2 linked regions of the Arabidopsis thaliana genome follow. The protein of the gene in region 2 purifies or fractionates together with the protein of the main gene of each other region. This does not show direct contact. Each region holds a gene or a part of one and is shown on either strand. Other genes may lie near its edges.

Region 1 (7,226 bases), on a different chromosome or scaffold from region 2:
ATCCTTTGTTATAGCATCTATCTCCGATAGATTTTATTTCAACGGAAAAAGGATTAATTTAAGCATTATACATACAAATTTCAAGCTGAACATCTCTTAGTAATTGTGACTCTAAGCCCATGCTTCATGTGCAACATAAGACCAGGTTCTGGCTCAATCTTCTGTCCTTTGATAACATCAATATCATAGTTTTGTAATATCTCCACAACTACGGTCTTCATTAGAGTCATAGCTAATTGCTTACCAGGACAAGTTCTCGGACCGGCGTTAAATGATAAAAACTTGAAGGAAGGTGCATGTCTCAACCCACCGGACTCAGAAACCCATCTCTCTGGCTTGAACTCTGTTGCATCTTCTCCCCAAACCGCTCTCATCCTTCCCAACGCGAAAAGAAAAATTATGATGACTGAGTTTGCTTCTACCTTATGCCCACTTGGCAGCACATCTGGCTTTATAGGAGACTTGCGTTGGAAGGCAACCGGTGGATAGAGCCTCATTGATTCATACAACGCCGCATGTAAGTAGACCAACTTGTCTAAGTTCTCTTGGCCATTTCTTCCGTCTTTTGAAATATTTTTGTCGATGATCTCTTTACGAATCTTTGTTACAACTTGAGGGTTTTCAGAGAGAAGCCAAAAAAACCAAGAGAGAGCAGAAGACGTTGTGTCTCTCCCAGCAAGATTGAAAGCTAAGATGGTGTCTCTGAGGAACTTATCATCACTCGGGTTCAAGAGCTCGTACTTGGTTGTATCAAGCTTTATGTGAGATGTCAAAAGATCCTCACTTTCACCATTTGCATGATGATCAATCCCCTGTGACCTTATCTCTTCTCTCTTAGCTAATATGTATTTCGCAGAAACGCGATCAAAAGTGGCATCAGCTTCAGTCATCCTCTTCTCTTGCCCTAACCCAAACCGGTTTTGCAGCTTCCAGAAGAACTTCGGTTTAATGTGCCTATAAAAAATCCCTTCTCCAAGATCGTCAAGAGCTTTAGCATACTCCACTTCCGGCATTTCAATAGAGAGAGATTTAGGATCAAACCCGGTAACAATAAAGAAAGTTGTATCAAAAGTGAATCTTTGAAACACTTGCTGCAAATCCACGACCTTCTCTTCCTCACAACATTGATTGAAAAGAGGAACAAGACCATCGTAAAGCTTACTCCTCGTTGCACTCAATGATAGCTTTTGAAAGCCTTGATGATTAAGCATGAATTGAGCAGCTTTTCTTTGATTCTTCCATAGCTCCGAGTCCGAACTAAAGATCATTTCTCCAAAAACATCAAAGACTTCTTTAAAGTCGGCACCTTTGGTATAGTTGGAGAAGTTTGAGCTCAATATGTAGTGAATATTAGCTGGATCAACTGTGAACAACATATCCATTTCAGCGAACCACGGTCCCTTAAATAGAAAGGTTAAGTGGCTCATTTCAAGAGCCTCCACGCCGAAGTTGTAGATGCGGTGGAGAACCATCAGGAAGCCTGGAAGCATCCCAATAACTGGCCAGTTTCGAAAAACCTGACCATGAGGTTTCTTGAAGTACATGTAATAGAAGAAGAAAAGGCAAATGATGGCTATGGCAACGTCAAGTAAGCTTACAGAAGCCATATGAGAGAGTTAGGAGCTTGGTTTACAGACACAATATGGTGGTGGTTCCTTTTGTGTGTTGAAGGAACTTGTTTATATAGAGTAAGATTATTACATATATAAATTAGCAACCAACAAAAAGAAAATTTATTAAAAAAGAAAGAAATTACCAATGCATTCATTCAACTGCTTTTCATATCTTAAGAATTAAGATTAGTGAAAGTGTTAAGCTGGTGAAGCTACTAACCACACAAATGGATGAGACAGAATTGGTGGAGGACTTGTAAAGAAGGGTCCATAATCTTACAATTTCAGACACTAAATGACAAACCAACTTTAAGAGGATAGACAAATCGAGAAGTGCATCAGAATTCACGGTCCCAGACACTGCAACGAAGGTCGTTGTAATAGTTTTCCAAATCTATTAATGTCATTAAATTTAATCAACAGTCCAAGTAACAACTAACTGTCAGAAATAATAACACCTCGACCTGGTCAGTGCAATGAAGGCCGTTTTAACAGTTTTTCTTTATTACATGAAGAAAAACTGAATCATATGTTTAGTAAATAAAATCCAAAAAAGTCTAGTTGCATACATAAAAACAAGGGAGGAGAAAATCTAGGCAAACCCATACTGGAGATAATAGGAGGTGTTCCGACAACATCAATCACATGCTTAATAGTATTATTGGAAGAAGACAAAAGTATCTAATAAGACATAAAAAAGGGTGTAGACACAGATTTCGTCTGGATATAATAATACAATTACAAAAGAAAGATAAAGCTGAGAAACCAAAAGAAATCCTGACCTTCCTATAGGAGATCTCATTATGGCTACTTTGGTTGGTCTCTTGACTGCTCTCCATTATCTGCAAAAATCATATCTTTTTAACGATCTGAACAACATCCTCGTCCTCAAGCTCGTGTTCCTGAAGTATAAAATACGATGTCGAGACAGCAATAGTTAGTTAGTCAGGGATATTGCAATATCGATTTACCAGATTAACTTTTGTTTGATTTGCTAGAAGAACTAACCTTTCCAACTCTTTGTGGCTTGTGTTTGGCACTTGAACCCCAAACCAGAGCGCTGTATCAGGAGATCATTAGTTAAGTATTCATGAGCGATGCTTTTGAGCAAGAACCATATAACAGAGAAAAGAAAAATGTTAAGGATTTTAATTACTTACTACTTGAATTGTTTAAGCATGTCTTTGTGAATCCGGATGCAGAAGTCCTCTACTGTTCTCTTCTTGGATGATAAGATTACGGGATCATCATAATCCGGATTCATTGCCTTTGGTTTTGTGTAGATTCGAGTTAGATCCAAGTATTCCCATATCTTGTCCAGAAGTCCATCAAGATTCCACTCCAGATGCGCACTGCAAGATAAATAAATTTATATCTTAATGGCAAAAGTAAACAAGTTTATCGCAAATCCTGCCGGTAATTTAACAACATTTACCTGACAGGACAGTAATGAGGAAGTTTGTCCAAAATTTCAAGTTCCTCAAGTGTGATTGAATCGATCTTGTTGACAGCATAGATACAGGGCATATAAATCCGACTGCCCTCGATGACATCAATGAGGTCATCAGCGGTTGCATCGTAGCGCAGGGTGATGTCAGCATTGTGCATCCTGTACTCACCGCAAATCGCCTTGACGGTGTCAAGGTCAAGGTGTGTGACAGCGACTGTAGAAGTTAGATTGATACCACCTTTGTCTTTTTTCCTAAATGTTAAATTTGGTGGCTCCTTGTTCAACCTACATAGCAACAGTCCATGATCGAGTCAGACTATCTACCAGAAACGATCAAATATACAGTGTATAAAGGTTGTTATATAAACAATCTATACCTTATTCCGAATCCTTCGAGCTCTTTTTCAATGAGACGCTTGTGAGTAATTGGTTTTATGGCATCAAGAACTATTAAGATGCAGTTGCATGTCCTAGCCGTACTTATAACCTGGAAATAGTAAAGTGTGAAAGATGATCAAAGAGGGTCAAAATATAAAATACTCAAGAGATTTAGACTCGACTTACCTGTCTTCCTCTACCTTTTCCATCTTTAGCACCCTCAATAATACCAGGAAGATCTAATAACTGCAAACACATAGAAGGGGACATAAAAAAGAGTATTAGCATCAGTGTCCAATGAATAATTACAGGTCGTTTCCTGACTTAAACTAAGTACCAAGAAGTCATTAAAAGATCAAGCAAGATACATGTTTAATATAGAAGTAAGACTCGAGAAAAGATAATTACAAGCTAGGACATGGCATATGTAGCCAAGGATTTCATTGTGTTTCAACAATTACCAAGACAGAGGAAACACTATCCAAGAATTATCATTTTTCCCCCACAAATAACAGATTAACACAGACGCATAGATGTAGATACCATACCTGGATTTTAGCTCCACGATATGTGATAACACCAGGAATGCATGTCAAAGTCGTGAACTCATAAGAAGCAACCTGAGAAAACATTGTGTATCACAGTATGTACCTTCAGAAAATTGAGTATCAGCCAAAATACAGTTCTAATTCCAAGATTTATGTTCATCTATCCAGGAAAAGACTAGCGCCGAACAGTCTTGCCTTATAAGTGATATTGCACAGGAAGTTGGTCAAAAAGTAACTAGAAATAGGATGCCATGGATACGTGGTAGGTTTCAAAATTCCAATTACAACAAGAGAAAGGAAGTTCAATATTCGTAACGATAACTACAAACCTCGGAAAATGTCCCAGTCAGCTTGTTTAATAGCGTAGATTTTCCAACCGAAGGAAATCCGACCAGTCCAACTCTAGAATCTCCACTTTTAGTCACATCAAAACCTTCTCCAGCACCACCACCGCCACCTTTGGTAGGCGGTGCAAGAAGGTCCCTCCGAAGCTTAGCAAGCTTGGCCTGCAAAATGGACCAGTGAAATATGACGAGAAGCTAATGGTGCAGGAATAAGTACCAAATTCTAAAATCAATACAGAATAATATATAATGCCTGCCTAGTAGTTGTTTGATCCAAGGAACTTCACAAGAGATCATGCCGTAAATAAAATATCTCAGCTTTGTGCTTATTCAATGATTTGGGAGTTCGTATAAAACATAAACGATTTCAACCAGAAGTTAAAATATTTCTTAATGAGCTTGCTTACTGGTTGGGATTTCATGATAGCTTTTATCAAGTATCAAAACAGATATAAACCAATCAACCAAATTTGCATTTGATAAGCAAAAACACCTCAACCAATCAACCTCACTCTCAAAGCTACAAAAAACGACCTAAAGAGGAGAAAAAATGTACCTTTAACAAACCCAGATGATGAGAAGTAGCTTTATTCTTCTGTGTTTTAGCCATCTGCCACATAAACAAAAAAAACCTCGTACTTGTGAGTCACCCAGATTGAAAAATCATTTCTTTGATTCAGAATAGATATTTCGGATTCACAGTTCTATGCATCCAAAATTGAAGAGAAGAGGTGAAGAATCAGAGAGGATTGAATAATTACCTCATCTTCAATTTCTTTGATCTTCTGCATAATAGTCGACATGGTTGCAGTCAAAGCACAGAGAGCTCACGGAGACAACGTCAAGGAAAAGAGGTTATACGCGAGTGAAAGGAAGAAGGACACCGGAATCTCTGATGCAGAGAAATTGACGACGACGGACGAGACAGAAGCAGAGGAATCCCGAGGGTTTTCGTTTCGTCCACCTGATTACGACAAAGGAGAAAAAACTAGAACAGAACTGTCTAGAATTCGGCCTGACCCAACAACATTTTAGGCCCATATATGTCCGATTTGGTTTTCCGGTTTAATAAAATTTACAACAGAATGAGAATTTAGTTTGGTTATATACAATAAACCCTGTTCTGAATTTTTGTTTTGTTTTGTTTTGAATTGGTGTTTTTCGGTTTTAGTTGATTTCAAAAACGGTTTAACTAAATTCAAATGAATCATGTACAACATACCATTCATGCATTCACCATTACAACTTCTCTCTCAACCCGGTTTTAGGAGATGATGAGAAGAAACTGAGAACTGAACCGGGGTTAATTTTTGAGTCTTCCTTCGGATTTGAACGGAACAGAATCGATTTTCCCTTGATTACAAAACTTAATAGCAACATCTTTGCTCTCCTGAGCTAGCTACCCCTTCAGCTTCTCGATATTAACCATGGCTTATTCTTTCTTCTTTGGCTCGCTTTTAAGCTTCATCTGCTGCATTGGTCTTTAACCAAATAGAGTCCATCACTCCAATAGAAAATGAGTTCTTGTATGGTAGTTATTAACTAACTCCTCTGATCTGCACAAGTAAGTCGTCTAACACTTCATAAATTTGATTAGCCTTGCAGTGAGATTTATCCTTAGACAAAAATATATGAACCTCCTTATTAATCCCAATCCAACTACGTCCAGGTTCTTTCACCACACCTTCAACCTTCATTCTTTCTCTCACCTTCTTAGCTTCAGTCCACATACCCTTGGACGCGTAAATATTAGAAAGCATAGTAAACGATCCACTGTCCTTGGGATCAGACAAAATAGCCATTTCAGCAGCATGTTCAGCTAACTCGACGTTACCGGCCTTTGCGCATCCACTCAGCAAGCTCCTCCATACTATAGCAGCTGGTTTTGTCGGCATTTTCTCAATTAACTCCCTTGCTTTGTTCAATCTACCAGCACGGCCTAAAAGAGATACCATACAAACATAGTGCTCAGTTTCAGGTTCAATTCCAAATCGAAGCATTAACTCAAATTGCTTAAGTCCATCTTCTACAAGACCAGCATGGCTACACGCTGATAGAACTCCAACAAAGGTGATGTAGTTAGGCTCTATTCCCTCACTCATCATTTTTTCAAGCATCTGAAGAGCCTTTTTGCCTTCTCCATGATTCGCATAAGATGAGATGACAGAATTCCAACAAACTACATCTCTTGAAGCTGCTGAATCAAAAGCCTTATGAGCGTCTTCGGGACTACCACATTTGGCGTACATATCTAGTAGAGCATTTGTAATATACGGATTACATTCCAAGCCTCTTTTCAGAAGCTGGCAATGGAACTCTTGACCCAATTGAACACTTGCTAGGTTGCCAGCTGCTGTAACCATGTTGGCAAACGTGAATTCGTCAGGTCTTTCTCTTGATAACTGTAATTCCAGAAACAGGTTGAGAGCTTCTTCGTTCTCTGATTGTTGAACATAACCTGCAAACATAGAATTCCAGATAACAAGATCTTTCACTTTCATTTCATCAAACACAAGCCTGGAATCCTTGAGGCAGTAGCAATTTGAGTAAACATCAATCAAAGCGCTTCCAGCAAATATATCTAAGTTTAACCCATATTTGAACATCAATCCATGGATTTGTTTACTCAGTCCCAAGCTTGTTAAAGAAGCAGATGCACGTAGAAGGCTAACAAAAGTCAATAGGCTAGGTCGAATCAATCTGAACCTCATGTCACGAAAGATGTTCAATGCTTCATGTAGTTCCCATTGTGTCCCAAGTCTCGAGTAACCTTCAATCATTGCATTGAATAAAACCACATCAGCAGCAGCGAAAATATCAAAAACTTTTCTGGCATCGGTCAAACAGTCACATTTCGCATACATGTCAATCAAGCTGTTAGTCACATAGCTAT
Region 2 (8,058 bases):
TAACAGAACCCAGCATGACTCATTGACTGTTTTTTGTACGTAGAAAGAAACACAAGATTCTTATTGAAAATCTCTATATAGACAGTAAATTCAAACAGCAAATCATCTCGACTTCAATAAGGAAACATGAAGAATCACCAACCAGTTTCATCTCTAGAAATCTCTAGGTCTGACCGTTTTTTCCATTGGCTTCAGCTAAAATTGCTTCCAGCTCTCCTTTATTGTGCAGCTGCAATGTATCTGTTCAACAATAATGATATGCAGGTCAAGTTACCAGAAAAATCACAAGACATTGAGCAAGATCTTGAGTACTATCTATCTTGGTGCCAAAATACACAAAGACGATCTCAATTACATATTAGAAAAATCTCGGTGTTGAGGTAAGAAAGGAAGAGAGATTGTACCTGAGCAGCCACCAATGTGCTTGCCTCCTGGTCATGAACAAAAACATGATATCAAAATTAGATAAGTGATGGTCATAGCAAATGTAGTGGCTAAGATTTTATCGATAGTTTTGTTTTCAGGCAAAATAATCAAGAAAAATGATCAGAGTATAGTTAGTAACTGGCTTAAATGATGAAACAACTAACCGATGAAAACATTGGGAACAGTGTATTGTCCAGTAATTTTCTCCAACACATTCTGCAGCTGCGACCCTTCTGAACCTGGAAACGCCAAAAACCACCAAAACTTTTGTAAATGTTTCAGACCAATATCATGAGGCAGAGATGTTTTACCCAAAGAAACTAAACAAGACAAGAAAGAACAAATGGTTTTGGAAAGTCACCAAATCTTGACACGAGAAAAGATAACTAAGAAGATAGCAACATAATAGTTTCTAACAAATAGAAGCATACTGTCTAAGATTCAAAGGCAGGAAAGAATCTTCAATTTGAAAAATTTAAGCCATTAGAAGTACTAGCCTACCCGTTGATTCTTCATCAACAAGTCATTGGTCCAAGGAAAACTACAGTGGAAGTAAATTTTTCACATAAACAAGACACAGAATCTCTGAAATGTAAAGCTATCTTAGGCCATTAGAAACCCCCCTAACCATCATCAATCCTCCATCAAAATCTAATCAAAAAACATACAAACCAATTCAAGCAAGCAGCCAAATGAACCAGAAGATAAACAAGAAGAAGTTGGAAACAAGTATTAATTTCATCCAGTCAAAATGCTGAAACATTAGGGCACTTGTAACCAGCTCTTCCTTGATCGATATAAACAATATCACACACATTATCAAAACCAATATAGCAAACTACTCAGACCCATATAGCAAACCAAAGTAAAGAATTGAGCATACCAAGTTGATCCAATTCAACAACCAGTGGCTCAACTTGAAGACTCTTGAACAAGGACTTCACTTGAGACGAGTATCTTCACCACCAAAAAGAACAAACCCAGTAAAAGTATCAATATTGACAAACTAGATCATAAATTAACAAAACCCATTCCTCTAATTGAACCAAAAAGTATAGTGAACCTACGAGCACCAGGTTTTGGAGTAAACAACGACAGGGTTCTCTGCCACAGTCGTTTTAACAGTCTCCTCCAATGTCGATCCAGACGAAGACGATGATGAAGACATAGCCTTAACAGAAGAACAACGGAGTGGTGGCCACGACGCGATTCCGATAACTGTCGGCTTTAGACATCTCCTGAAAGGTAACATGCCCAAGTTTCTGATTCCGCTTAACATGGAGAAAGAGATTGCTGGATTTGAATTTAACGACGTCCATGTCATGTTCGCGAGGTTTACTGTTGCGGCTACCATGGCGATTTCTTCTTCCGACGAAATTGGATGCTTTTCTTATTTTTGCCCTCAGATTAATTTACCTCTTTTTATATCGCCGATATTTTTTGTTCTTTATTTATAAATATCAATAAAACAACTAAATATTCATAAGAATTGATTAAAATTCTTTGTTTTTAATACATTTCTGTAGTTTTTATTTTCTCTAGTAAGTTTACGACCTTTTATTTACACATCATGATAAAATTAACAACAACAAAGAAAGATGAAAATGATTGGACAAAAAAGATACTACTAGTTCTTTGATGAGGCCATTTAAGACTGTAAAACAGTAACAGAAATTATTCAACACCCCAAAATGGGGTTTGTGTCTGCAAAATCCAATCTATTGAAAGTACACAAAAACAAAACATGTGCTTTCTCTCCTCCACCTCTTCCTCTTAGACCATTTTTCATTTCAAGATGACCCTTCGTCGTTTGGCTCACGAATCTGGATCGATGTTTTCGACAAGCTTGCTTCCAATTCATCCAGCTCATCCATGTCTAGGTCATCATCATCATCATCGTCATCTTCTTCTTCTTCATTGACTTCTTTCGAACTCTGTTCAGCATCACCACTACTCTTGCTTGTCCCTGCCTCTGCTTCTTTGTTCTTTGCCTGAAAAGCAAAAAACTCAAGATTCCATTAACATGACTTGGTTGTTTTAAATGATGAGTGAGTGAGAGAGAGAGAGAGAGAGAGAGAGAGAGAGAGAGAGAGAGAGAGCTCACCTTTTGTTCAGTCTCTTCCTGCTCTCTTTCCCTCTCGTATTCTTCACAAGCCTCAGCATCATCCACAAACAAGCTTGCATTGGACAGAAACAGCTCCCGACCACTGAGGTTACAAATCCACACAATGAATCAGCTTCCAAGGACAAAAATAGAGTCACACTGGAGATGGATATGTAACAGAATGATGAATGGGGATTACCTCATACGGTCGTTCTTAGCTCTCTCCGCTTGAGAAGCAGCCAAACCGGCATCTCTCTCAGCAATTTTCTTCCTCTTCCATTCCATAAATAGTGCAGGAGTCATTTGTGTTGCGGTTTGCAGTTTTGCACGCTGAAACATAGAACAAGAAAACATGGGTCTCACAAATCAAGTACCGGGTCCTAGCAGCTATGAGGGAAACTTGAGGAGTATTTTAAACCTCGTTTTCGATTTCGTCCTCAACTGCCAGCTTCTTCGATGACTCCTCTTCCAAGAGGGCTTTCATTTGAGATTTAAGGACATATCCAGGAGGAAGCGCGTGTCTGTAATGACACTCTTTGCCACCATTGGGGCATGACCAGAACCACCCATACTGTTTCTTTTCCACAGCATCCAGAAAATACTTGCAAACCTATTATTTTTCAGTAAACACAAAAACAATTACAAGTCAATAAAACTCAGCGAGACAAATAACTCATGTGTTTAGGATAAGTTTATGAGATGATTATTGAGATGAGACGCAGAGATATTATTTCTTTTAGCATAGACGTATATAGTTAAGAAACATTTATTTCAAAATTATGATTAGCACTAACATCACCAAAAGCATGAGTTCTTGTCAGGCATGAACCAAGTGCGCAGAAAAACACAAGGGAACAACGGGAGGCATAATAACATCTAAGACCCTAATGGCTCTTAATATGAACCGTGCTATTAGCTAAAGGAAGCGCATCGTAAGGCGAATGCACATCAGCTAAAGGTTAATCACAGCAAGTGCAACCAAAACTAATGCATCACTTCACATAATACACGTTAAAAGGCTGTATATTTGAACACAAACCAGTTCAGACATTTTCACAGTGCATTAACAAGAGAAAAGCTACTAATAACTGATAAGCATGTCCCGACAAGCATATAATAAAAAGTCCGAGAAACACAAGATAAGAGAAACAACTTACGATATCTGTTGGCTTATTCTGATTATATTCATTTTTCTTTGATTCAACAACCTTTTCAAGGGTCTCTTGATCCCACTCATCCATATCTCCATCTAAAGCCATATAAAAAAGGCAAAAATATGACCATCATCCAAAGGACCAAAGGGATAGATATATAAGACACTTTGTGCCACACTTTTATACCTTCATCACGCGTATCACTGTAAATATCAATCTTCTCACCCTTCCTTTGAATGTTCAAATCATGAGAGAATTTGCACTTGAAACCCTTTTGACACTGCCCGGCCTTGAAAAACTCACAGAGTATAGACTTTGGATCCACACCTGCCAAGATACATCACCAAAAACAACACACCGTATTCAATAAATAATACCGAAACCAAAGTGAACAAACCAGAGAAACAGTATCAACATTCAACATACATACCTACAGGAACTTTGGGCTGACTAATAGCTACCTTGAACAACTCATTCAATTCCTGTTCTCTCGCTTTCTCTTCCTCTTTCTTTTTCTGTCCTCAAAAAAACCATTTTTCTTGGTAAGAACTTATCTCTCACACTAACTCATTAGACATATTCAAAAAATCTACTCCACTAGCCTCCTAACTTCAAATTCATGAAGAAAACTCAAAACTCATCTCAAGAGACGTGTACCTTAGCTGCAGCTTTAGTTGCATCGGGTTTAGGCTGAACAGATTGCTTGAGACTCTGAACATACTTCTGAACATTCTTGCTCTTGTTCTTGTTTTTCAATCCGAAAGTTTTGTCTTCCACTTGTTTCTGCTTCTTCGCCAAATCAGCCTTTGGTTGTTGCTTTGGAGGCATCTTCAAACACGTTCAATCGATTTAAGGAAAAAAAAAACGCAAACTTTTTTATTGTACACGGATCCGATGGAAGGTTCTCTAAAGCTAATGTATCAAAATTAGGGTTTCTAAGGTTCTGAGTGAAAACGAAAACCTAAATTTGATCGGTAAAAAAAATCCCAGAAATCTGTATTGAAGCAAAACGGCGGAGATGAAGAAAATTTGCCCAGAAACAGAGAGACCCTAATGAGTAAAATTACCGATCGAGATAGGAGAAAGAGATGAGACAAAGGTACAACATTTGCCTGGTATTAGCCATTTGTCTACACTGATACGAAACACTAGCTTTTACTATTGTTGGGCTCACCTCAATATAAATGGGCCTAAATTTATAGTCCATTTAAGGCCCAGTTTTAGGTCACTCATCTTATAAAATTTCCAAACCAGAAGAATGAAAAAATGCTGCCAAAAAAAGGAAAAATGAATCATAATCATGTTTTAATAATAATCAAGATTTAAATTAACACAATAATGCAATAATGAGAAAATGCAATAATACAATAATGCAATTTTTTTCTATTAACTTGATTCCTTTGTACAAACCATAAATGGGTGGAGACAACTTCTCAGACTCAACCAAAAAAAAGAGCTAAATTACAAAAAGAAATAAATTTTTATTTCAATCACGAAAATAATGAAAGAAAGACTGCACAACACCAACAAGAACAATCCATTAGCCAAGCTTTGTCTCTTTTTGTTTACTCCCAGCAAAACAACATATACTCTTTATGAAATCTCTGGGATGATTAGAGAATTACAATGATAAACAAATAAACAAATCGGCGAATCTAAAAATTTCTTCGCAGCAATTTTCTCTGAGATTCTTCTTCATGCTTTTGCATGGTGTTCTTGAAGGGTGGCAGTTTTGGTTTCTCTGAATTACTTACTAATGTAAGAATATGAAAGATGGATTTTCCAGAAGTTCCTCAGCAGGTTTCACTTGGGCAAAGTCCTTATCTTGCATTGAACTACATAAGTCATCGATCGACAAGGATATGATGTTGCTGTGCATGGCCAAAAGGAACGGTTTTGTTAGTTTCTAGAAAGATAAATGTCATCATGACTTTGGATCATAAAAGCAAAAGATAGAGATGATGCAAAGCTACACTTACCTAGAATCCTCTTTTAACAAGAAGTCGCTGCTGTCTGTCATAACTCCTGTCATGCTTGCAATTACCTATTGATCGATGAGCAAGCATTAAACTACTAGAGCAGAGGATCTTCATATATGTCAAGAGAAGAGAACTATTTCCTCAGAAAGCTTACATCTTGGGAAACACTCTTTGTGTTGTAGATTTCATCCTTGTACAGAGTACACAGTTTAAAATGCTGCTGTATTTGAAGGTTCTGAGTGAAGGTAAAATGGTGTAAGCATAATTACAATGTCAAAGTTCTCCAGTTATCGGTAAAAGAGTTGGTTGATAGAGAGACTTACTGGACACAGATCATTTGCAATCTCGTCGTATGAGATGTTGTATTTCTTATGGATGAGCTGTTGCAGACGCAAATTCAAGGGGGAAATATGTGAGAAATACAAACTCTTACTAAGATTCAAGTAAATTTGCTTAGACAACATTTCTTAAATTCAAAACATACCAAGAATCCAACAGCTTGTCTGGTATGCTTGAGTTCATCCCAGGATGAGCCAGCATACTATCAGAAGAGATATTGTGTTATGTATTAACCCAATTGACGATGACGAAAGAAGAGAAAGGAAACTGTACTTGGGATTACCTCTTCTTTTGTTTCGCAGCACCATTTCTCTAACTTTTCTAAACCAGATTTTAGATATTCTCCATTGATAAATGAACAGTTATCTGGACGCGTGACAAGGCTGCAGATCAGAAAGAAGAGGTTGATAATAGTCTGCTTATCATAGAGATGCATATTTAATATTCCATTGATAGACAATAACAATTTCTCACCTGTTACATACTTGGACATTGATGAGTGAGAAAGCCTGAGAGAATATCTTTTGGATAAGAACCGGAGGAACCTGTAACAACAATAAGCCATAAGAATTTCCTGACATTTAGAGAGATAAGAGCAGTGAGTGGAAACGAGTTTCACATACAAAGCTCTCTTTTAGTGTGCTTAGCAGTGCATCGAGGCCTTCAATAATGTCTTGCCAGTAGTTAGCAGTGGTTATAGATATTAGCGCATTCCCCTTAAATGTTTTTGGTGCCTAGAAAGATTCTCTCATGTCAGCTTACAACACATACATACAAAGGAAAGATGAAAGTAGAGAAGCATTGTGGATCATGTCACCTGGATGCAGAGAGCAAGGACAGTGTTCAACTCCTTTTTCAGGTTATCCCAAATGATTCCTAAAATCTTTTCAACATATGCTTCAAGTTGCTGCTTGAAATGCAAAGCTGGATCCTTGGCATCAACTGGTCGAATAGCTTCAGCCGCTGGAGAACGGAAACCCTGTTAAAATATAAGGTAAGGATTGTTTAGCTTTTGGAGCAGAAACTCATCAATACAAGATTAAAAAGAAAAAAAAAAGAGAGAAGAGTATATATACCTTGGTCATCCATCGGACTAAGGAAGGTGACTGTCGAAGTGGAGTGGCCCCGGTTCCACCAGATTTCAGACTTTGTTGGAGCATGAATAATAATGTTGACGTATTGGATAACCAATATGCCAAATTTGCGTCGTTATCTTCATCCTAAAAATAAGAATCACTAATCATTCAAATCTGATAAAAACCAGATTTGTACTGACGTAGACAAGACAGCATCCCATTTTAGTACCTTTATAGCAGAACCAATCATTTGAACGAGGCGATCAAAGACATTGGTTCTTTCAGCTTCAAAGGATTTCCAATGAAGAAGACATTTGTAGATGGTAAATGCCGCTACAGGCTTCCCCTGGCTGAATCCAACATTCTTTGTGACAGAGTTGATAAGGGCATCGACATCCTCCTTTTCCAAAAAACCCAACAAATCTCTCTTCAACCAAAGAGGGGATATATTAAAGATGAGAAGCACATAAAAGAGTAATTTAACGAAACAACATACATGTTGAGGATCAATATGGGATCCCCTTGACTTAGTGTCAGATCCTGATTCTTGTATCCTTGGTGGTGTTGTAAACTCCGCTCCCTGCAAAGACGGCTTTTAGAGATATATAAACAACTGGAGCAGAACTTCATATAAAAGTAGACAGAAAAGGAAAGACATAATTTACACTGAGTTGACTTTCTTCGCTAGTAAAAAGGCCATTTTGCAAGTTCTAAACAAATACGAGCAATATTGTAATTAGGATGATTGAGAGAGTCAGATGTAGACATCCAAATATTTCTCTGGGCATGTCTACCTTTAATGGAGTAGAAAGGAATCGTCCTGATGCTGTCTTAACAGGAGTGGTTAAGACAGATTCCTTCAAAAAGTTATTCTCAAGTTTCACCTCCTTTAATTTCTCTTCGAGACTGCAAATGAAGAAAAAGCACATATGTTGACTGTCAGTGGTAATGAAAGCCTTAATATCTCTGTGAAAATTCAA

What was found. Proteins that work in one complex are often made in the same cells at the same time.
Region 1: the proteins of AT2G20280 (region 2) and AT4G39520 fractionate together in Arabidopsis thaliana (co-fractionation; one large-scale study listed by BioGRID). This does not show direct contact.

What each region holds. Positions count from the first base shown.
Region 1 is NC_003075.7:18,368,865-18,376,090, forward strand, and holds AT4G39520 (GTP-binding protein-like protein), read right to left. Parts: upstream 5,376-7,226; 5' UTR 5,137-5,375; coding exon 5,095-5,136; intron 4,944-5,094; coding exon 4,890-4,943; intron 4,496-4,889; coding exon 4,319-4,495; intron 4,062-4,318; coding exon 3,990-4,061; intron 3,688-3,989; coding exon 3,628-3,687; intron 3,551-3,627; coding exon 3,441-3,550; intron 3,349-3,440; coding exon 3,049-3,348; intron 2,966-3,048; coding exon 2,774-2,965; intron 2,674-2,773; coding exon 2,622-2,673; intron 2,516-2,621; coding exon 2,465-2,515; 3' UTR 2,001-2,464; downstream 1-2,000. Other genes in the region: CYP96A12 (cytochrome P450, family 96, subfamily A, polypeptide 12), read right to left, coding at 81-1,607; AT4G39530 (Tetratricopeptide repeat (TPR)-like superfamily protein), read right to left, coding at 5,872-7,226. UniProt on the Arabidopsis thaliana protein: Binds GDP and GTP, and has low GTPase activity in vitro.
Region 2 is NC_003071.7:8,737,838-8,745,895, forward strand, and holds AT2G20280 (Zinc finger C-x8-C-x5-C-x3-H type family protein), read right to left. Parts: upstream 4,814-8,058; 5' UTR 4,513-4,813; coding exon 4,342-4,512; intron 4,200-4,341; coding exon 4,115-4,199; intron 4,012-4,114; coding exon 3,871-4,011; intron 3,780-3,870; coding exon 3,688-3,779; intron 3,141-3,687; coding exon 2,949-3,140; intron 2,861-2,948; coding exon 2,730-2,860; intron 2,634-2,729; coding exon 2,531-2,633; intron 2,418-2,530; coding exon 2,217-2,417; 3' UTR 1,903-2,216; downstream 1-1,902. Other genes in the region: AT2G20270 (Thioredoxin superfamily protein), read right to left, coding at 164-240, 405-431, 591-746, 1,310-1,383, 1,494-1,780; myosin-like protein XIG, read right to left, coding at 5,438-5,555, 5,664-5,728, 5,818-5,898, 5,987-6,043, 6,148-6,204, 6,286-6,385, 6,477-6,547, 6,626-6,736 and 6 more.